Oryctolagus cuniculus: one gene and its partners. The protein of the gene in region 2 interacts with the protein of the main gene of each other region in a pairwise test. Links are inferred from orthologs where the notes say so. Each region holds a gene or a part of one and is shown on either strand. Other genes may lie near its edges.

The links.
Region 1: the proteins of STAT3 (region 2) and BLK interact in binary tests that used the Homo sapiens proteins (3 or more experiments, as listed by UniProt). The link is inferred for Oryctolagus cuniculus from reciprocal best matches to the Homo sapiens genes STAT3 and BLK.
Region 3: the proteins of STAT3 (region 2) and RPA2 interact in a two-hybrid assay, tested with the Homo sapiens proteins (2 studies listed by BioGRID and IntAct, with this or other methods). The link is inferred for Oryctolagus cuniculus from reciprocal best matches to the Homo sapiens genes STAT3 and RPA2.
Region 4: the proteins of STAT3 (region 2) and BMX interact in binary tests that used the Homo sapiens proteins (3 or more experiments, as listed by UniProt). The link is inferred for Oryctolagus cuniculus from reciprocal best matches to the Homo sapiens genes STAT3 and BMX.
Region 5: the proteins of STAT3 (region 2) and NFKBIZ interact in a two-hybrid assay, tested with the Homo sapiens proteins (2 studies listed by BioGRID and IntAct). The link is inferred for Oryctolagus cuniculus from reciprocal best matches to the Homo sapiens genes STAT3 and NFKBIZ.
Region 6: the proteins of STAT3 (region 2) and SRI interact in binary tests that used the Homo sapiens proteins (3 or more experiments, as listed by UniProt). The link is inferred for Oryctolagus cuniculus from reciprocal best matches to the Homo sapiens genes STAT3 and SRI.

The regions. Positions count from the first base shown.
Region 1 is NC_091433.1:42,982,853-42,986,352, reverse strand, and holds part of BLK (tyrosine-protein kinase Blk), read left to right. Parts: intron 1-778; 5' UTR 779-779; coding exon 780-887; intron 888-3,500. UniProt on the Homo sapiens protein: Non-receptor tyrosine kinase involved in B-lymphocyte development, differentiation and signaling. B-cell receptor (BCR) signaling requires a tight regulation of several protein tyrosine kinases and phosphatases, and associated coreceptors.
Region 2 is NC_091448.1:20,494,264-20,497,763, reverse strand, and holds part of STAT3 (signal transducer and activator of transcription 3), read right to left. Parts: intron 3,482-3,500; coding exon 3,383-3,481; intron 3,295-3,382; coding exon 3,159-3,294; intron 2,160-3,158; coding exon 2,107-2,159; intron 1,872-2,106; coding exon 1,777-1,871; intron 1,666-1,776; coding exon 1,526-1,665; intron 1,061-1,525; coding exon 848-1,060; intron 1-847. UniProt on the Homo sapiens protein: Signal transducer and transcription activator that mediates cellular responses to interleukins, KITLG/SCF, LEP and other growth factors. Once activated, recruits coactivators, such as NCOA1 or MED1, to the promoter region of the target gene.
Region 3 is NC_091438.1:143,728,122-143,731,621, forward strand, and holds part of RPA2 (replication protein A 32 kDa subunit), read left to right. Parts: intron 1-557; coding exon 558-659; intron 660-781; coding exon 782-895; intron 896-3,500. UniProt on the Homo sapiens protein: As part of the heterotrimeric replication protein A complex (RPA/RP-A), binds and stabilizes single-stranded DNA intermediates that form during DNA replication or upon DNA stress.
Region 4 is NC_091453.1:1,655,933-1,659,432, reverse strand, and holds part of BMX (cytoplasmic tyrosine-protein kinase BMX), read right to left. Parts: intron 1,223-3,500; coding exon 1,095-1,222; intron 1-1,094. UniProt on the Homo sapiens protein: Non-receptor tyrosine kinase that plays central but diverse modulatory roles in various signaling processes involved in the regulation of actin reorganization, cell migration, cell proliferation and survival, cell adhesion, and apoptosis.
Region 5 is NC_091435.1:56,493,375-56,496,874, forward strand, and holds part of NFKBIZ (NF-kappa-B inhibitor zeta), read left to right. Parts: intron 1-52; coding exon of another isoform or gene 53-63; coding exon 64-192; intron 193-701; coding exon 702-732; intron 733-840; coding exon 841-944; intron 945-1,041; coding exon 1,042-1,811; intron 1,812-2,475; coding exon 2,476-2,581; intron 2,582-3,030; coding exon 3,031-3,177; intron 3,178-3,365; coding exon 3,366-3,429; intron 3,430-3,500. UniProt on the Homo sapiens protein: Involved in regulation of NF-kappa-B transcription factor complexes. Inhibits NF-kappa-B activity without affecting its nuclear translocation upon stimulation.
Region 6 is NC_091447.1:47,172,397-47,176,523, forward strand, and holds the start of SRI (sorcin), read left to right. Parts: upstream 1-1,327; 5' UTR 1,328-1,428; coding exon 1,429-1,479; intron 1,480-2,237; coding exon 2,238-2,321; intron 2,322-3,993; coding exon 3,994-4,063; intron 4,064-4,127. UniProt on the Homo sapiens protein: Calcium-binding protein that modulates excitation-contraction coupling in the heart. Contributes to calcium homeostasis in the heart sarcoplasmic reticulum. Modulates the activity of RYR2 calcium channels.

The DNA of each region.
Region 1 (3,500 bases), on a different chromosome or scaffold from region 2:
AATAAAACATCAGGGACCCAGGGACCCTTCTCTCCACAAAGGTCTACACCTCAGGCCTGGGCCAGATGAGTGTGCTGGCCCAGCACTGGACTGGACCTTGGGCTAGCTCTGCACCGGCTGACTGTTTCACCAGGAACAAGCTATTTAACAGGGTGGAGAAGCAGCCTCCCTAAAGAGCATGGCCTCCTGGCATGGACATGGTACTAATGGCCTGGTCCTTAGGGTCTCCCCTACGTCTGTCATCCTAAGATTCTTTCCTGGATAACACTCCTGGCCATAGTTTTGTCCTCTCCCAAGGAGACCCCAGGTACTCCTGAGAAGCCTGCGCTGCTGGTCTTCCCTTGTTCTAGCACCCCATCTGCCAGCTGGAGCCGGAACGCACCTCCCGCCTGCCCCAGCACAGCTCTGCGGGTTACCAGGAGCCCATGGGCCCAAAAAGGAAACAGGACAGTCTGAAGTGACATAGCCAGTAGCCAAAGGAAGCCTGAAACCCAGACACCTAACACATTGATCGGGCTCTTTCTAGAACACTCAAGAGCCTCCCTACCCAGACACCTGTCCCCAGGAGCCTGGGATCCACTCCAGTAGTTTTTGGCTGTTGCTTCTGGCCAAGTGATCTCTGTGTCCTGTTCTCTTCTCTGGGCCACTGAAAAATGACGGACACAGGCTCAGCTTGCCCACCCCTTCTAACCACCCTTCTCCTCCACCTTCCTGCCTGCACGGGACCTGAGGCAGCCCTGCCATCTCCTACCACCAACCTGCTGTGTCCTTTCCACAGGATGGGGCTGGTGGGCAGCAAAAAGCAAGTCAAGGAGAAGGGCAAGAGCCACTGGAGCCCTGCGACGGTCAGCGCTCAGAGCAAAGCGCCCCCACCACTACCGCCCCTGGTGAGTGACGGGGTGGGAGGCAGCAGGAGGGGGAGTGCGGTGCACCTGCAGCTCCCGGAGGCTACCACAGGTCTCCAGCCGGCCCAAGTGCCATCTCTCGGTTCTGACAAGCCCACCGTAGTAGACAAGCCACACACCAGCGTGGCAGTAGAGCAGAATGCTCAACAACCAGTGCAGATCTTAGTGTGTGCCTTGAAGCAGATTAGTTAACGCACCTGCGCCTCAGTTTCCACCTGACGGGTATAGTAGACGTGCCTTCCTGATAGGCACGGAACAACACACAGGGTCTAACCCAGGATGTTTAGCCAGTGCTCTCTTGTCACAGCAGAAACCAAAGAGGTCAGCTTGGGAGGGCGTGGTGGGGAAGGGTCCGAGCTTTTAGCTACCCCTGCGCCAGCCTCTACCTGGAAGCACCCGGACACCACTGCCCCTGCGCAGCGCTGCCAAGGTGAGCATCCTGAGACTGAGGGCACAGCAGACCCTCTGTCTCCCTGCAGCCCCACAGGCACTGCACAGGCAGAAAACTTTCCATGGGCAGAAAACAGGGAGATTTCAAGTGGTAACGTTTTACTGCTGGGGAATCCATCTTCCCTTTTAAAAATGATTTACTGGGGCTGGCACTGTGGTGCAGTGGGCTAAGCCTCTGCCTGTGGTGGCGGCATCCCAGATGGGCACTAGTTCATGTCCCAGCTGCTCCTCTGCTATGGCCTGGTTAAGCAGTGGAAAATGGCCCAAGGGCTCAGGCTCCTGCACCCACATGGGAGACCCGGATAAAGCTCCTGGGTCCTGGCTTCGGATGGGCTCAGCTCCAGCCGCTGAGGCCATGTGGGGAGTGAGCTGGTGGATAGAAGACCTTTCTCTCTGTCTCTCCCTCTTTCTATCTGTAACACTACCTTTCAATTAAATAAAATCTTTAAAAAGATCTTTAAAAAAAAAGATTTTCTTTATTTGAAAGGCAGAACGAGAGAGAGAGAGGGAGACAGAAAGAGATCATCCATCCATATGCTGGCTCACTCCTCAAATGGCTGTGCTGGCCAGGTCTGGGCCAGGCTGAAGCCAGGAGCCAGGAATTCCTTTCTGGTCTCCCACATGGGTGGCAGGGGCACTTCCTCTGCCTTCCTGGATGCATTAGTGGGAAGGTGGATGGGAAACAGAGTAGCAGAGACTTGAAGCAGCACCCCATTAGGGGATGCTGCTGTACTGCAAACAGCGGCTCAATCTACCGCACCACGCCAGCCCCAAACCCATTTTCCCTTAAACACACTTCTGGTTTGTTTACAAAGCAGTGAGCATCCTCTAACAGCCACTGCATTTTCACAAATGTGTTTCCAGGCGATGGTTTGTGCCCCTGTTGCTGGGCCCCTTACCCTCTTTTGGCCTAGGGTACTTGGGAGCCATGCCTGAGCCCCCTCCTCTGTCAACAGGGGCACATCACGAGGCCACCCCTCGTTTCTCACAGGGTCTTGGTATGAGGTGGGAGTTACTGTAGTCATCTCATGGCTGAGCCTAGCCATCTTCTCGCCTGTGACCCAGTTAACCCCGGGGCCTGGGCACTCAAAAACCAGCTGTCTGTTGAGTAAACAAATGATCACACGGGTAAAACTGGACTCGAGACAGATTGAGTCATTTCCCCAAAGTTATATGTAAAATGGTGGAGCCTGGGATTTATTTTAACTTAAAAAAGCCATATAACCGAAAGATTACAATTCCTCACTATCCCAGACACCAGCGGCCAGCTCTGAGTCCTGAGAGCCCATTTCTGTGCATTCCTTGTGTGTTCATGTTTTGAAGGGAGTGAGATCATGCTTACATTTTGCAAAATGCTACTTCAAGATTGTGTTCAAGAAATCTGGACCACAAAAAGAATATAAGAGCACACACATCGGGCTGAAAGAGTATAATCAAGCCAGCATGTGGGCGGCTCCCCCCAGCCTCACGTTTTTCTTGGTGTCTCCTTGCACCTCTGCCAGTTCATCTCCCGTCGCCCACACCCCCACATCCCAAGAGTGTTCATCAAGCCTTAGCTGTTTTACATTATCACATATGTAAACAAGAATAAACAGCATTTATTTTTCCCACTATGAACTTTATTTTTTTAAGGATTTTATGTATTATTTATTTGAGAGGTAGAGTTACAGAGAGGCAAACGGGGAGAGAGAGAGAGAGAGAGAGAGAGAGAGAAAGAGAGAAACAGAGAAAGAGAGAGAGAGAGAGAGAGAGAGAGAGAGGTCTTCTATCTGCCAGTTCACTCCCCAAATGGCTGCAATGGCCAGAGCTTGGTTGACCTGAAGCCAGGAGCCAGGTGCTTCTTCCGGGTCTCCCATGCGGGTGCAGGGGCCCAAGGACTTGGGCCATCTTCTACTGCTTTCCCAGGCCATAGCAGAGAGCTGGACTGGAAGAGGCGCAGCCGGGACTAGAACTGGCACCTATATGGGATACCGGTGCCGCAGGCAGAGGATTAACCTACAGAGCCACAGCAACGGCCCCCCAGCTGTGAATTTTAAACCAACTGAATCGAGCAGCAGATATCCTCTGAGACTTGAGTCTGGGTTCAATATTATGTCTGTGAGATTCACCCACATTGATGCATGGAGCTACAGTTCATTCACTTCA
Region 2 (3,500 bases):
ACGGGCTCGGAGTCCGGGCTAACGCAGACCCGGGAGGCGGCAGTGATGGCTCAGGTAACGCGTGAGCCTTTGCTAAGGCCCCTGCAGGTATCTGGGGAGTGAATCAACAGATGGGGGCACTCTGTCTCTCAAAGAAGGAAGGAAGGAAATTCAATTTTAGAAAAGGGAAAGAAGAATGCAAGCCAGAGGCTGCTCCTCAGGACAGGTGCGGGGACAGCCAGCCAGAGTTGGAGTGGCAAGCGTGTGATGGACGCAGACAGGAGGGCTCCCCCTACCCACGGTTCACACCAAGGACCCAGGGGCCACAGGTGTAACGTATCTCTTCCTCTCCCTCTGTCACTGTCTTTCAAATAAATAAATCTTTAAAAACTGATTTTAATAGCCGCACATCCTACATGCGAATCCCACACCCCTCGCACCGGCTGCCTTCACCCCTGCGAGCCCTCCTCCGCGGTGCTCCCTGCTCTGGCACCGCCAGGCCCGTGTCCTCCAGGAAGCTTTGCAGTCCTCCTGCCACTGCTCCGGTGCTTTGCGGGGCTCAGGTCTCCGTCCCGGCCCTGCTGGCACCCCCAACACAGGAAGCACCGTGCTAGCTGGGCATCCAGTCCTCTCACGTTTCGTGGGCAGGGGTGACCTATTTCCCCATTCAGACTGGGGTGCTCCCTGTGGGGCAGGGGCTGGCCACCCGGAGTCCACTCTTCTCTCAAATCACATCGGCCACGGCCAGCAGCGCCTGGCGAGCTCCTCCCCAGGAGGAGAACGAGGGTCTCCCAGGTTATTCCGCCAAGGACCCCGCAACCTGCAGCTCCTCCCAAGAAGGAGGACGGGAACGTGGAAAATCAACAACTACCTGGGTCAGCTTCAGGGTGCTCCTGGCTCTCCGGCCGACAGTACTTTCCGAACGCCTCCTCCTTAGGAATGTCGGGGTAGAGATAGACGAGTGGAGACACCAGGATGTTGGTGGCGTCCATGATCTTATAGCCCATGATGATCTCAGCAAACGACATGTTGTTCAGCTGCTGCTTGGTGTACGGCTCCACCGACTGGATCTGGGTCTTCCCTGTCGCACGAGGTGGGAAGGAGAGGTGCTGGCACCTGCGGCTAGGCGTACTCCCACAGCATACTCCCCCCAGGCGTGTCTCCTTGGTGGGGACAGACCTATGGCAGGCCAGCGCTCGCGCCCCTGAATACCCCTCCCTGTGGCCTGGCACTGTGGAAAGGGCCAGGATGACTATGACAGAGACTATCATTTTGGCCATAGGCAACAGACCGGAGTAAGATGTGTTAGTGAGGGTAGGCAAGAAAGAGGATGAAGAATAAAAAATTTCAACTGCAAATTTCTTGGAACACACTGCTCACTGGAACAAGCGAAACAGACTGGCAAGTCAATCTTTCAGACGCAGGAGTTCAAAGGTGGCCGCACCTGTCTGCGTGGGGCAGGGGAGTGTGAGGCCATCTCTGCCCGCCAGAGGGCAGCAGTGCTCAGAACCAGCCCCGCCGCGAGGGAGCAGCAGAGCTCACTTACCACTGATGTCCTTCTCCACCCACGTGAAGGTGACACCTCCCTCTTTGCTGCTTTCGCTGAATCTCAGTAGGAAGGTGCCTGGGGGCTTGGTGCTCAGGATGGCCCGCTCCCGCTCCTTGCTGATAAAGCCCATTATGTACCTGGAGCCGGAGAGGAGGACAGCATTGCTGGGGCTCCAGGCCATTGGTCCCGGGCCTTGGGGCTGAGAGGCAGGTGACTTGGCTACCCCGGGCGCTCTCTGCTCAACCTACCCTTCATTCCAAAGGGCCAGGATATACTTTTTCACAAGGTCAATGATGTTGTCCAGCCAGACCCAGAAGGAAAAGCCCTTGCCAGCCATGTTTTCCTGAAGAAAATAATGGGGAAATCAAGTCCATCGCCACCCCAGCCTTTTCTCCCTGGGGCAGAGGGCACTGCCCAAAAATACCTCCTTAGGTCCCCTGCCCTCAAGGAGGTCCTAGAAGCCACTGGACCAGAAGTCACTGGCCTGAAGGCCCAGCAAGCACTATGCCCATCTTTTAGGGACGCGCTCCCATGCTCACTCCCAAGAGACAACAGCAAGGAGTAAAACGGTTGCTTACTTTGCAAAATTTAGCCCATGTGATCTGACACCCTGAATAGTTCACACCAGGTCCTGAAGGGACAAAGAAGAAAAGTAGCAAATGTTCAGCTCTGAGTCAACACCTTACTTCTTAGCACACACACTTGGCCCGTAACAGGCCATGGAGCTACTGGCTGTCACGTGTCTGCAGGCTGCCACTGCCATTCGTGTCCACGCACACACGCACATGCACACACCCTCTCCCATCCCTTGGCCCTCCAGGGCTGCTGTGCAGCTGGGCAGAGGTAGCGGATGATGGGGAGCAGCAGCACACACCATCAAGCTGACAGAGTTGATGGCAGCACCAAAGTTATCCATAGTCCAGGTGACACACAGAGCATTCTAGAAACTTTCTCCAGGGGAGAAAAACTTCAAACTAGGCTACAGTTTATCGAAGAAATGGACAGAAAACATCAGGTCTTCAGCACCACCTTCTGAGAAACACATTAAATATCCTAAAAGGATGGGGCAGGCACTCAGTGTAGTGGTTGACTCACCACTTGCACCCCATTATCAGAGTGCCAAGTTCAAGTACCAGTTACTCTGCTTCTGATCCAGCTTCCTGCTAGCACACACCCTGAGAGGGAGCAGGAAATAGTTCAAGTACTTGGGTCCCTGCCACCTTCGTGGGAAACATGGATTGAGTTCTGAGTGCCTGGCCTTGGTCTAGCCCAGCCATGGTTATTGCAGGCATTTGGGGAGTGACCCGGTGGACAGAAGATCTCAATCTCTCTGTGCCTTTCAAATGAAATAATTGTTTTACAAGTTTATTTAAAAAAATTTTATAAGGTTGGACAAGATATTATCCTCAAAGGGCAGGAAAGACAGCAACCAGAGGAGAAAAACGGAAAAATCTCCCTCCCACCTCATAGAAGCGAGCGGCAGGTCCCTGCACCCCGACGCCCAACCTCACGGAGCAAAAGCTTCCTGCCCGAGCACAGTGCCTTGCTCAGGGCACACCGACTGCAGGAGAGCCCCCCGGGCCAGATTCCTCGTCTGAGGAGGGCAGGGGAAGAAGAGGTGACAGCGAACCTAGGAGTTTCTCGGCCAGCGTGGTCAGCTGCTCGATGCTCAGCCCCCGCTTCGTGGTGGAGGAGAACTGCCAGCTCAGCACCTCGGCCACTTGATCCCAGGTCCCGATCGGAGGCTTGGTGAAGAAGTTCACGTTCTGTGAAGACACCGCGGTCGCCGTTCAGACGAGGGCGTGGTGCCAGTGACCGGTGCTGGGTCCTTACCGGCGAGCCCCGGGCACCGACCTTGGGGTTGTTGGTCAGCATGTTGTACCACAGGATGGACGCCCAGGCGTTCGGCATCTGGCAGATGTTGGAGATCACCACCACGGGCAGGGAGTGGGTCTGCACAAAGTGGGGCAAG
Region 3 (3,500 bases), on a different chromosome or scaffold from region 2:
TTCTTGAGTCCTCCCTGTGGCTCCAACTTACCTGTTCCGTGGGAGCTTTGAGGTCAGAACAACCCAGGTTTGAATTCTCAGATGTGGCATTTGTGAGCTATGTGATCCCTGTGATTCAGTGTCCAGGGTGGACATTTGGGGTAGCAGTGATGATACTGCCTAGGGCGCCTGCATCCTGTCCTCGTGCCTGTGTGTAAGTCTTGACTCTACTTCTGTATCAGCTTCCTGCTAATGTGTACCCTGGAGGCAGCGGATGATGGCCCGGATGACTTGGGTCCCTACCACCAATGAGGGAAACCTGGTTCAAGGTCCTGGCTCCTGGCCTTGGCCCAGCCCAGCTCTGCTTATTGCAGGCATTTGGGGAGTGAGTCAGTGGACGGAAGATTCTTTCTCAAGTTCTTTATTTGCTTTCCAAATAAAATGAAAGTAAATTGTTTAAATTTTTTTAGAGAAAGTTTAATGTTCCAATTTATTTAATGTGTTTGGCAGGTGGCAGGTGTTAAATGCGTGGTCATCACTATACTTTTAGTTGAATTTATGCACACGTTGCTTTGCAGAGAGCCCGAGCCCAGCACATTGTGCCCTGTACCATATCCCAGCTGCTTTCTGCCACTCTGGCCGATGAAGTTTTCAAAATTGGGAATGTTGAGATTTCACAGGTATGTGAAAGAATTTGTGTAAGAGTCGATCATATAAAGAATGAAATGACTTAATTTAAAAATGCATATGTGCTGCTTTGGTTTCTTGAAAGATAAAGTTGTTTTTTTTTCTCCTAACCTAGGTCACCATCGTGGGGATAATCAGACATGCGGAGAAGGCACCAACCAACATTGTTTACAAAATAGATGACATGACAGCTGCACCCATGGACGTCCGTCAGTGGGTCGACACAGATGTAAGAGGCTGTTTTTGATCAGGGTAGGGTTACTTTGGGACTTTGGAGAAGATGCACTTTTTAAATATTACCTTTTAAAATTTTTAATAAAAAATAATACTTAAGTGAGACGTCAGAGGCAGAAGCCCTACTGTGATGCATTAATATATTTGATTCCATAAAAGTTATTTTATTTATGTATGTGTTTATTACTTATTTTATTTGAAAGGCAGAGTTACAGAGAGGCAGAGAGAGAAAGATCTTCCATCTGCTGGTTCACTCCCCAAATGGCCGCAATGGCAAGGGCTGGGCAGATCCGAAGCCAAGAGCCTGAAACTTCTGGGTCTCCCATGGGGGTGCATGGGCCCAAGGACTTTGGCCATCTTCCACTGATTTTCCAGGCCATAGCAGAGAGCTGGGTCAGAAGTGGAGCAGCCGGGACTTGATCCAGTGTTCATATGGGATGCTGGCACTGTAGGCAGCGGCATTATCCACTATGCCACAGTGCTGGCCCCTTCGTAAGAGTTTAAAACCTTGGCCGGCGCCGCGGCTCAATAGGCTAATCTTCCGCCTGCGGTGCCGGCACACTGGGTTCTAGCCCTGGTCGGGGCGCCAGATTCTGTCCCGGTTGCCCCTCTTCCAGGCCAGCTCCCTGCTGTGGCCCGGGAGTGCAGTGGAGGATGGCCCAAGTGCTTGTGCCCTGTACCCGCATGGGAGACCAGGGAAAGCACCTGGCTCCTGGCTTCGGATCAGTGTGGTGCGCCAGCCGCGGCGGCCATTGGAGGGTGAACCAACAGCAAAGGAAGACCTTTCTCTCTGTCTCTCCCTATCACTGTCCACTCTGCCTGTCAAAAAAAAAAGAAAAGTTTAAAACCTTGTAAATTTCCCAAAATACTAAAAAGGCAAGTGACAGGACACCGTAGAATGTAAATTCCAAGAGAACAAAAATTATTTCTTTGATCACCTTTGTATTCCCAGCACCTAGAACACCTAGAATAATGTCAGTGACATAATTGGCCCAGCCTGACTTAGTAAATACTGTTTACTGTTTATATGAATGGAGAAAATATTTGCAACAAATGACAAACATTTTAAATATTAACTAAAAATGCTTACAAAGTGAAAAAAAACACCCACAATTGCACCTTAGGAAAATGGACAAAGAAGTTTTAAAGATCTATTTATTTATTTGAAAGAGTTACACAGAGAGAGAAGGAGAGGTGCAAAGAGAGAGAGGTCTTCCATCCGCTGGTTCACTCCCCAGTTGGGCGCAACGGCCAGAGCTGGGCTGATCCGGAGCCAGGAGCTTCTTCCAGGTCTCCCACGTGGGTGCAGGGGCCCAAGCACTTGGGCCATCCTTCACTGCCTTTTCAAGTGCGTTAGCAGGGAGCTGAGGCTCGAGCCTGCCTTCGGATGGGATACTGGCACTGCAGGCAGCAGCCTAGCCTGCTGCACCGCAGCTTTGACCCCGAGATACGATTTTTAATTCATTGTATTGGCAAAGAAATTTCAAAGAATGACAGTGTCAGGTTCTGGTGAGAGCAGCATAGTGCCTCTCGCACTTAGTAGGCACCTAATATGTGTTGAATGATTTGCCATTGTTTAAGGAAAAATACCATTCTACCCCGATAATATAAACAAGAATTGGCAAACCCTTCCTCAAACATCCTGTGTCAAAATTTTCAATGATTAAAATGTTGAAACAGCAACTCTACTTCTAGAGTTTTATACTGACATAATTAAAGGTGCATTCAAAGATTCACTTCTAAGAATGTTGATCATGGCCAGCGCCATGGCTCACTAGGCTAATCCTCCGCCTGCGGCGCCGGCACCCCGGGTTCTAGTCCTGGTTGAGGCCCCGGATTCTGTTCCGATTGCTCCTATTCCAGTCCAGCTCTCTGCTGTGGCCAGGGAAGGCAGTGGAGGATGGCCCAAGTACTTGGGCCCTGCACCCGCATGGGAGACCAGGAGGAAGCACCTGGATCGGTGCAGCAAGCCAGCCGTAGCAACCATTTTGGGGGTGAACCAATGGCAAAGGAAGACCTTTCTCTCTGTCTCTCTCACTGTCTAACTCTGCCTGTCAAAACAAAACAGAACACAATGTTGATCATAATGTGTTAATGAAAAATTAAAAGCAAAACCAAAATGCTAGCAATAGGAGATTATTAAGTAAGCCATGGTTTATTTATACATACTGCAAATTATTTAGAAATGTATGTATCATCACAAAGAAATATTTACTGTCAATTTGAGAAAAGGAACGTGTTGCAAGATGTATGTATGTATGTATGATTTGACCTCGTTTTTGTAATGTAATGTGTATATGATTGTCTATAAATACGAAGAAAATGAATTGAAAGAGAAACTGGCGTTGTAGCACAGTGGGTTAACTGCCACCTGCAATGCCGGCATTCCATAGTCTAGTGACGGTTCAAGTCCCAGCTGCTCCACTTTCTTTTATTTATTTTTTTAAGATTTATTTATTTATTTGAAAGGCAGAGTTACAGAGAGGCAGAGGGAGAGAGAGAGTCTTCCGTCTGCTGGTTTACTTCCCAGATGACCTTAATGGATAGAGCTGGGCTGATCTGAAGCCAGGAGCTTGGAGTGTCTTCCAAGTCTCCCACGT
Region 4 (3,500 bases), on a different chromosome or scaffold from region 2:
AACATGGACATTTTTAATAGTCTTAGCCTTTGTGCCAGAAATTCCACTTCTAGGAATTTGGCTATAGGAACTATCTGGGTACACAGGGCTATGTGCACAAGATTGTACATTGAAGCATCCATTGCAATGTCAAAATATTGAACATGACCCATCTGCGAACCAACAGAGAGCTGGGTGAATAAATTATGCAGGGGGCCGGCGCCGTGGCTCACTTGGTTAATCCTCCGCCTGTGGCGCCGGCATCCCATATGGACACCAGGTTCTAGTCCCAGTTGCTCCTCTTCCAGTCCAGCTCTCTGCTGTGGCCCGGGAAGGCAGTGGAGGATGGCACAAGTGCTTGGGCCCTGCACCCGCATGGGAGACCAGGAGGAAGCACCTGGCTCCTGGCTTTGGATTGGTGCAGCACCAGCAGTAGCGCCCACTTGGGGAGTGAACCAATGGAAGGAAGACCTTTCTCTCTGTCTTTCTCTCTCTCACTATGTATAACTCGACCTGTCAAGTAAATTAAAAAAAATATGGAGTAACTCTGCCAAAGAATTCTATGTAGCTGTTAAATAGATCAAAATAAGCTATACATACAAAGAAAAATCCCTAAGACATAATGAAGAGAAAAAGAAAGCTGAACAGTAGGTGTAGAATGATCTCATTTCTGTAAAAAGGTAATGTATATACATATCATTTCTATTTATATATAATGAATCATAAGTGTTAGTATCAGCATACAAAAAATCTATCATAATAGACACTAACTTGTCCATGGAGGCTCTCCACCTATTGACATATATTTCTGTAATATTTGAATTTTAGAATTAACTTGTTTCTATAGGCAGGAGAAACCTTACAGATACTTTTATAAAGATAATTTATCCTTTTAAGTTGTTCAACTCATTCAGTGTCATTCTTTATGGCATTTTGGAGTATACCTTGTTATATTCCAGGAAAATAAGTTAAAAGTCACATAACCAAAGGGCTCAACAGCATTTTTTCCTACTTTCGAGGTTCCCTATATAATTAGGAATATTATGATCAGTAGTATCCAAGAAAACGGATATTTACCAACAAGATCCCATAAAAGAAAGATTGAAATAGGTTACCTGCTGAATTGTGTTGATGATAGTGAATAAGCTTTGGAATGGAATCAAAACAGTAGTTTTCTGCCAGATATAATTTGTTCTCACCATTTGTATGCACATGGTAATGTTTGACAGTTCCTTTTTTATCACTAGTAAAGAAGAAAATGTTTTTTAAAAAAGCATTTTACATAAATGACTGAAGCTTGATGCAGCAATGGTTAGATAATTATTTTAAATGTATGGATGTCAGGAGACGGAAGTCAGGAGGGGTTCCCAGCCCTGACAGCTGGTGTTTATCGGGAGGTACTCATGACACCCAGTAATTATGGAAGAGGCTCTGCTCTGAACTCAACGTATCCTTCGTGCACATACTGAATTCATCTACAATAAAATTTCAACTTTCCACCCTTAATAATTATAAAACTCAAATCTTCCTTTGACATTTGAGAGGCTTTGAAGTTCTTCACGATCATTATTCAGAACATGAATTCTCTTTTAGGATAATGATGGAGATAAAAGTGAGGGAGGCCAAGACGATTAGGCTGTGAGTATTCCCACCCCTGAGCACGAGTAGAAAGTTCTTTTGGGAGTGGGGCTTGCGGTTTGAAGTTGATGAGGCTGTCCTTTAATTCCTCATGCGAGCTTGTACTTTCTCCCCATAAAATAGTCTATTCTTTTCCTTTACTTTTAGAAAACAGTGGTGAGCTGATGCACACTGCTTTAGGCTAATCAAAAATAATACACCTGTTTCACATTTCAGAGTATTGCACAGTGGTCAAGAACTGGGCTTTGAGTCCAGTTGCACAGCTTGCTAACTACTTCATCTGGTTGTTATATAGATTCAATATCTGTCTATCTGCTCTATGCTTGGCACATAAGAAACATAATAAATAATAATAAATTGCTGTGGTTGTAATATCATTCTAGTTAAAGCTGCAATTATAAAGAGGAGAAAGGGTGCATATTTTTGGTGCAAATGGCCAACTGGCTTGTGGTGTCAGCATGAAATTCACTCAAGCCCATTGAGGAAGTTTCATAAAAGAGGGTTTCGTTTTCATTAATTAGGACTGTTTTCATTTGATTCCTTATCTCTTTTCTGATTTGTCTACATGGTCACCTTCAGAAATGAATCTGGTGTCAAAAAGTGTGATTAAGGCATTTAATATGAGGTTTGGTGGAAACTTCAGGGCCAGAGGGTCATAGAGCTTTTTATACTCAGTGATCAAAGTCTTCTCCTAGTTCTTGGCTTTAGCCAGTATCCAGGTGTCATCATGTGCAACTGAGATGCACTGGGGACAGGACTTCTGGCATTGAAAAATGTTGTACAACCACTCAGGGTACATCCTATCATCTCACACTGGAGATAGGTGTTATAAAAACCTTCTCAAAATAAAATAACTTTCATCACTTTCATCACTTAATTATCATAAATATAAACATAAGCATCATGGGATAGGGTACACGCAGAAGGTACCAAGGCAGAGGGTAATGTGATTCACTGTTGAAAAAGGACACACACATAGAAATATGTGTTTCCAAATTATCCTAATCAAGTTTTGGTCTGATTCCTGTTCCAAAATATTGAGGGTTTCAGTGTAGACACAGAATGTGGATAAAGGAACATAACTTGTTATTGGAAGCCTGGTTTCAAGTCAGACACTTTGTGGGCAGATCTTTATAAACTCTCTTTGACCCTCAATCCTTCCATCTGTAAAATGGTGAAATAAAAGCAACTGTCCTGTGTGCTTTGTTGGACAATTACAAGGACAAAAGAGCTAACAACCAGTGGCAAAGTGACTTATAGCACTCCAGATGTTGGCGATGGATGGCTTTGTATGAGATGACTATGGAGTGTCTTACATGCCTAGGTGTTGGGGTGCAGAGAGTGGAGCAAGGAAAACTACTTTTGCCAGCAGCAACAACAATAACTGTAACTGCTCTTAGCTTATTAATTGCTCACCATGTGCCAGACAGTTTTAATCCCATATGGATTAGCTAACAGTAGCCCTAGAACATAATCATCATCATTATACCCCCTTTTCAAGTGACAAAGTTGAGCCACAGGCATTTGTTCAACTTGCTCAATGCCATGAAAGCTTGAAATGGCAGAGCTAGCATTTGAATCTATAAGTTTGGTTTCAGACTGGAACTCAGCCACACAGAGAGGACAGCACCTTAAAAAGAGGCTATGCAGAGAACATAGCTACATGGATTCAGCCTTCTGCTGACTCTGGAAGGACTCACTAAGCACTGGATATTGGGGTAGGTTTCTTAGCTCAGCGCATGACTAGGGTTGAGAGTGCAGAGACTCCATTGTTATTTTGCTCTCTTTCTGGGCTTAGATTTGCATGGAAGGGAATCAGCCAGGAGTTTTTTAATAAATGCTTCCTGAGGCTGTGCTCAGGCACTCCGCTGTTGCCTGGGTGG
Region 5 (3,500 bases), on a different chromosome or scaffold from region 2:
ACGAAGAGATTTAATTGGGCCATAAAACATTTTTTTTTTTTTTCCCGAACAGTTGAGCCCCATATGGGGGTTGGCAGGCAGCAGAGAGGACCCTTTCAAGGTGTTCGTGTGAAGAACTCCGTGAAAGAACTCCTGCTGCACATCCGAAGTCATAAGCAGAAGGCTTCTGGCCAAGCTGCGGATGATTTTAAGGTGGTACGCATTTCTTGCTTTGAGTGGATTGGAGGGGAGGTTAGTCTGCCAGGGTTATTGCTTTCTACTGACCAGCGTCCAGTAAGTCACTTGCAGTTTTTCAGATGATAGAGTTCATAGGACAGAGACCGGACTTGTCTTGATGTCTGCTCTGTTCCTATCACTTAACCCAGTGCCAGGCACATGGTAGGTATCCGAGAGAAATTGATGAATGAAAGCAAGTTAGGGCCAAGGAAATAATCAGTATTCAGTTGACATGGGATGTTTTGACTACACAGGGAAAAGATAAATGGCCTTTATTAATTTAGTCTTAATAAGTTGAACTAAGGTGAAAGTGAAAATGGGGAAGTTGCAAGAGAGAATGAGAACTGAGAATGAAGTAAATATTGATAGAATAACTGATTCCTGGTAAGCTATAAAGGGCGGTAGAGATAAGTCTCTTTATTGATATATATTAAGCAGGAAACCATTTTGTGTATATTAAATTGGAAATTCTTTTTCTTTTATAGACACAAAGTGTGAATATAGAGCAGTTCACAGGTAAGAGTTACTTCTGTTCATAATCTTAGAGTAAAATAATTCAGTGTGATGATGGGAAAACTTGCAAGGTAAAACGGTCACTGACTTCATACTCATTTCTTGGGACAGAATTGAAGAACACAGTATCATATACTGGGAAAAGGAAAGGGCCTGATTTGTTTTCTGATGGACCAGCTTGCAAAAGGCCAGCTCTGTTGCATACCCAATTTTTGGTAAGGACTATTTGCTTCTGCATACCCTTTTGAAGTTATCCCTGAACTAATTTTAGAAGGAAGGCAGAGTACAAGGTGTGTTTTCTTTCTTTTGCAGACACCACCTCAAACACCAACGCCGGCAGAGAGCATGGAAGATGTTCATCACAATGAATCCAAACAGGACAGCTGTGCCGACCTGCTTCAGAACATTATGAACATTAAGAATGAATGCAGCCCAGTTTCCTTGAACACAGTCCAAGTTAGCTGGATGAACCCTGTGGTGGTCCCTCAGAGCTCTCCACAAGAGCCGTGTCGGGACTTTCATGGAGGGCAGATCTTCTCCCCACCTCAGAAATACCAACCATTCCAAGTCAGTGGCTCCTCCCAAGTGATGGACCAGGCTTCTATGTATCAGTATTCTCCGCAGAACCAGAATACAGAACAGCCGCCCCCGCAACATTACACCCATAACCCGACTCTGGAATACAGTCCTTATTCCAGGACTTCCCAGTCCCCCAGCTGTGAAGCAAGCCTCTTTGATAGTCAGGCACCACAGTTCTGCCCAAACACCACTTTTACAACCCTCCTAAGTGGTCATGGGGAATCTGAGAATATTACTGTTCCCATTCAGACTTCCCCCAGTGTCCAGCAGCAAAATGATACTCACTTGCAGAACTTCAGTCTGATGCCAAACAGTGCTTGTCAGGCCATGGCGGGGCATGATGCAGGCGCTACCGCTTTAAGCTCAATCCAGGACATCAGCAGTCCAATGAGCACCACACAGTTAGGGAAGTCATTTTTTCAGTGGCAAGTAGAGCAGGAAGAAAGCAAATTGGCAAATATCTCCCAAGACCAGTTTCTTTCAAAGGATGCAGATGGTGACACGTAAGTATCCTTTTATCTCGGGTACTTAAGTCAAACTTGTTGGATCTAGTGGGTGCAGAGTTTTTCTAGTTGGATACCTTAATTGTTGGCTAACCAAGATGACTATTATAGACAGAAACTGCTACTCCATGGTGACTCATATTTTAAGAGTTTACCTCTTTTCTTTTTGGCTGAAACTAATTGTTCTAAATTAATAAAAATATGTGTGTGTGTCTTTGAATAATTGGTTTTGGAATACCAGCATAAACTGTGTCTTCAGAAACCATAGTTAAGCATAAAAATTGTGAGTTGATTTATAGATTGAATCCTAATCTGTGCTAATGACTTTTGTGGCATTGGGCAAGTTATTTAACCACTCTCCGCCCCAGTTTCTTAACACGTAAAATGATAGTGCTTCTCACAGGGTTTTTATGAGTATTAAAAATTATAGTTCCAAAGGGATCAGCATGGTGCTTGGCAGCTTTTTTCTTATTTCTGGTAGCCTGAGTTATCCCTTTGCAACTTGGCTGTGTTACCAACCTACCAGAAAGAACAAATTATGCTCTGTAGTATTCCAGTTCAGTGTATCAATATATCAAAAAGAGGGTTAAAGGAAATTTTTTTTTAAGAGGAACTTCAGGGAAATTAGAAGTGATTCACCTCCTTTCCCTTGCTTGTTCCCCAGGTTCCTGCATATTGCTGTTGCCCAGGGGAGAAGGGCACTTTCCTATGTTCTCGCAAGAAAGATGAATGCCCTTCACATGCTGGATATTAAAGAGCACAATGGGCAGGTGAGGATCTTGGCAGAGTCTGGAATGGCAAAGATCTGGTCATAGTAAAGTGACTGATGGACCAGATAATTTCAGAACTGAAGAGCAAGAGCGTTTAGTTAATATTAACTTTGAGATATTGACTTTTGCTACCATCAACCTTGAAGTTATTAACATTGACTTTGTAGTTATTTGATCGAAGATTGAGTATAATAAAGCCTCACCCTGTTTATTTTAGTTTCCTTGTCTTACAATATCTGATTGCTTATTAGTAGAATTTATTTTCTCTATGTGGGATTTTCCCTAAGTCACAGTTTAATTTCATATGCCTTGTTAGGGTACTGTTACATGTTAAAATACATATACATAAAAATATATATACACATGTTTGTGTATGTATATGTATATGTGTATATGTGTGTGTATACATATATATATATATATGCTTTTTTTCTCCTGAACATCCACAGAGTGCCTTTCAGGTCGCAGTGGCTGCCAATCAGCATCTCATTGTTCAGGACCTGGTGAACCTTGGGGCCCAGGTGAACACCACAGACTGCTGGGGAAGGACACCTCTGCATGTCTGTGCTGAGAAGGGGCACCCCCAGGTGCTTCAGGTAAGAGGCAATGACGCAGACTCTCATCACTGTGGGCCGAGAGGGGGCTTGGATATTAGAAGTGCGATGTAGGTTTCTTGGTGAAATAGTGTGTTTTGAGTTGACTTTATTATTCCTTGGGATACCAAGAGATCAGTATTTATATAGTTTGTCTTTTGCCAACAGATGTCTGTTTTAAAATTTTGCAGGCAATTCAGAAGGGAGCTGTGAGGAGCAATCAGTTTGTGGATCTTGAGGCAACTAATTATGATGGTAAGCAGCTGAAACTTTATTGAATAAAGAATCATTTGGAGTCTGGAGTCCATAGCTTTAGGGTACTGTGT
Region 6 (4,127 bases), on a different chromosome or scaffold from region 2:
ATCCACCTTGACGTCTGCCTGCGGCTGCACACGCAGGAACCTATTTCCCGACTCCCACGCAAAGCAGGCCACATAGCGTTCATTTCCTGCAACAGGAACCATTGGAATTTTCCTCGGGATTCAGGATGAGGATGGGTATCTCAGGAGAGGGCCTGTGAGGGAAATTACACGCAAGAAGAAAACAATGAACGTGGCAGGTGGCAGCCCAGGAATTCGGAATGGAGCATCCTGCGCATGTGCGGACACGCACAGCAGCACGCGGGCAGGTGCCCAGGGCAGGATCGCCGCACACCCCTACTACAAACACCCCAAATCTTGTAATTCTCATAATGTCTTTAAAAATAGTAAGTCTAGGGGCTAGCACTGTGTATGTACCAGGTAAAGCAGCGCCGGCATCCCACGTGGGCGCCAGTTCCAGTCCTGGCTGCTCCACTTCTGATCCAGCTCTCTGATTCAGTAGACAAAGGAACCGCTGAGATAAAGCCAGCCCCGATCCAGCTCTCATGTGGCCTGGGACAGCAGTAGAGGATGGCCCAAGTGCTTGGGCCCCTGCACCCTCGTGGGAGACCCAGAAGCTCCTGGCTCCTGGCTCCAGATTGGCCCAGCTCTTGCCATTGCGGCCATTTGGGGAGTGAACCAGCGGATGGAAGACCTCTCTCTCAAATACATAAATAAATCTTTAATAAGTCTAGTCCTTAATAGTCAAGGGCAAGCAACCAATTTCTTGTGTCACTGAAGTGACACAAAACAAACCCACATGTCACGTCTGAACTGCGGCAGATCCGAATGCGCAGAGAAAAAGTTTTCCGGGGAACCCGAGCGGAGCTCTCTCGGTCCACCACTCTGCGCTGGTTTGCTCTACCGAGTCATTTCGAGGAGAGGGACTGTTCTTCCAGAACCACCCAGGTCATGCCAGCGCGCCCCGTCGGTCCGAGGCAGCCGCAGCGCCAGCCAGGAGTTCACTCCCGGCGTCCAGGGGCGCTGTCGGGGTCCCGCTCCCCCAGTGCCTCCGTCTCCCACCGCACCCTGCCCTCTGCTGACGGCGAGTTCCCCTCTCCCAGTAAAGCTCCCCACGCAGACGGCTGGGCCAGAAGACAGCCAATTAGGAAGCACACACAGAGGCCCGCGGGCGCTGGACGGCGCTGGAACGTGCCATCGCTGCGCAGGGAGGCGAGGCGCGGGCGGGCGTCGCGGGGCAGGTGCGCGCGGTCACCCCGGGCCCTTCGCCCGAGCGCAGCCTTGGCCCGGCACACGCAGCGCTTCGCAGGCGTCCAGGCCCGGGAGCCCCGCCCTCGGGGGGGCCCCCGGTTGGGAGGCGGCTCGCGTGCGTGTCCCCCGCCAGCCCACGTGGTGCGCTCGGGGGCGGCCCGGCGCCCAGGGGCGGGGAGGCGGAGCGCGCAGGGCGGCGGCTGTGGCGCATTCGGCACCATGTCGTACCCCGGGCACCCTGGCGCTGGCGGCGGGTACTACGCAGGCGGGGTAAGTGCTGGCCTCGGGCTCCGGCCAGCCTTAGAGGCGCTGCGGGAGGCTCCTCCGGCGTCCGCAGCCCCGGCTCTCCCTTGAGCGCTCGCACCCTCATTCCAGCCCCCGCGCTCGGCGCCTGTCTCCCGCTCCCTTCTTCCCTCTGCCCCTGCTCCTCCTGGCGCCTGGGGATTGGGACCCAACACGCCCACCTTGCAGTTGGATACTGGCGGCACTAAATGGTGCACACTGGGTGTTGGCTTCCTCTTCCTCCTCCCTCCCGGCTTCCCCCGAAGCCATTTTAAGTGTAGCAGAGCCCTGCCATCTACCGCTCTCCGTTCCGAGAAGGTAGAGGGGGAAGCCTTGGCAGCCGGGCCGCGTCGGGGTCGCCGTGGCACCCGCATCCGCGCCCCCTTTCGCGCCAGGCCGCATTGCCGCCAGCTCCCGAGCTCCGAGGAGGAGCCTGAGACCTGTTGACAGCCCCCAACAAGCTGCAGGGACAGAGCACAACGCTTCTACCCTCTGCCCTTAAGTCACCAGCCTAGGCTACCTGTGCCTGCAGGTTCAAATCGTGGCCCAGGCGGGGTATCCCCTCCAGGTCCAAGCTGCCGGTTCTTAAAGTTCTAGCGGGATGCGAATGGAAGAAAAGGGGTGGGGTGGGGGAGGTCAGCCCCCGGTTTAGGGCGGCGGGCATGGCCTGGCCCTGCACCCAAGCCCTGTGCCGAGCGAAGAACCCTGGGCTCCGCAGATGACACCTTTGTGTTTCTATCCCACAGTACGGAGGGGCTCCCGGAGGACCCTCGTTTCCTGCACAAACTCAGGATCCTCTCTACGGGTACTTTGCTGCCGTAGCTGGACAGGTTGGCTTTTCCACTTTTTCCTTTTCAAATTCAGAGTCTGCACTTGTGTTAGCTGTTGAGCCAGTGGGACCTGAAAAAAAATGAACTTGGTTCTAGAAATGTGTCGCTTCCTTTCTCCCAAAGAAAGAAGGAAAGTTGTTTGTTTCCAGCGTCGGGTCGTTATTTTGTAATACTCAGGACAAGTTAGGATCAGATGTTACTGCTGTTTCTGTGGGTTCAGTTCAGAAGTAACCTTGATTGAATGCGGGTGAAGTTGGGTAGGCCAGAGTACACTTTGCGGATGTGTAAGGGAGCTGGAACGCCCTTCGGTGTGAATCCTCTGGGGCCATGGGTGCTTTCAAGAGCAGAAATTCAAGCTCTGGTGAACATAAGCCCTGGGCTACACAAGGTAAAGACATGCATTAGTAATTACGTGGATGGGCTCTAATGCATTTCTTTGCATTGAATTTGATTCTGCAGCGTTTCCCTCCTTATGAAATAGGTAGGTATGGTAAAAATAGCAGCTTCCAAACAAGAAAGGTACTACTCCTCGTGGTATCAGGAAGTTAATCCTGTGACAGCCAGATGATGTCCCCCAGCCGGCTCTTTCGTGTCCCTATCAGGTGGTGTGGCCTGTTGACCTAGAGTCAGAATTCAGGTCAGTTCCCCAAGACCTCTCACCTCTGCGGGTTGCATGACAGCTGCTGGCTTACCCCGAGGGGGCACAGTCCCCAGCTGGTGAGGCTGCTGTGTGTGGCAGATCCACTGCTGTTCGAACACAGACGTGTCCAGAAGGGGTGTTTGCTCTTGGGCATTCTACTTAGTCTTGTTGTGATCAAAAGCTAGAATTAGCAGACACTGAGTGTGAAAATGCTACAGAACGTTATGGGATGAAAACCTAGGACCACCTTTGAAGGTAGCACTCTTAAGAAATGCAGCTGAAGAATCTGAATGGAAAGTTGAGTCTAAACCAGGAAGACTTTCCTCTTAAGTATCTGCCGCATGTTATCGATCTGTATCTTTGAAACCACAAGACAAGGCAGACCTCGAGACGAGCGTTCTTAGATTGCCGCCTCCCCAGTGTGTAAGTGACTCCACCTGCTTAGCTTTCAGCAGCCCCAGCCTCAGCTCCGCTCATCCAGCCCCCGCTCGTCATTTATGACTTACCAGACTTGAGGACTGGGGCACTTTATTTTAAAACCACTGCAAACAACATATATTTAGTTCTGAGCTAGTTCAGCCAATGAATGAGCCCTGGGAACGCATCCAGTGTACCTTCCAGGTAAAACCATGCCTTGCAAAGCCATCACATCCCAAGAATAGGTGATCAGAGAGGCCTCTTCTGTTTGAACCAAGCCGATGACTTACTGATGGCTGCTCTGTCCCCTGCTGTCTCCCTCCTCCGCTGAGAGAGAGAGACGGAAATGAGAGAAAAGAGATTTTTAGGCAGCTCCATAAATAAGCTAAAAATGCTCAGCTTTGGCACGTTCCTTGCTCAGACTGAGAAGAGAGTAGTTGGAAGGATGATGCGGCATGCCCCGTTTTGGGAAGAGTTTCTTTGAAAAACAATGCTCACGCATGATGGTTGCTTTTATTATTACTATTATGACTGCTGCATTGAATGCGGCAGGGGAAGAACTTTAAAGAGCAACTCAGCTCGCTGTTCTGAGACCTCTCCCTGTTTTCTCACAAGGATGGGCAGATAGATGCGGACGAGCTACAGCGGTGCCTGACGCAGTCCGGCATTGCCGGAGGCTACAAACGTAAGTTGATCGTCCCGGGTTTCTCTGCACACTCGCTCGCGCCCCGTATCTCAGCTGTTGCTTC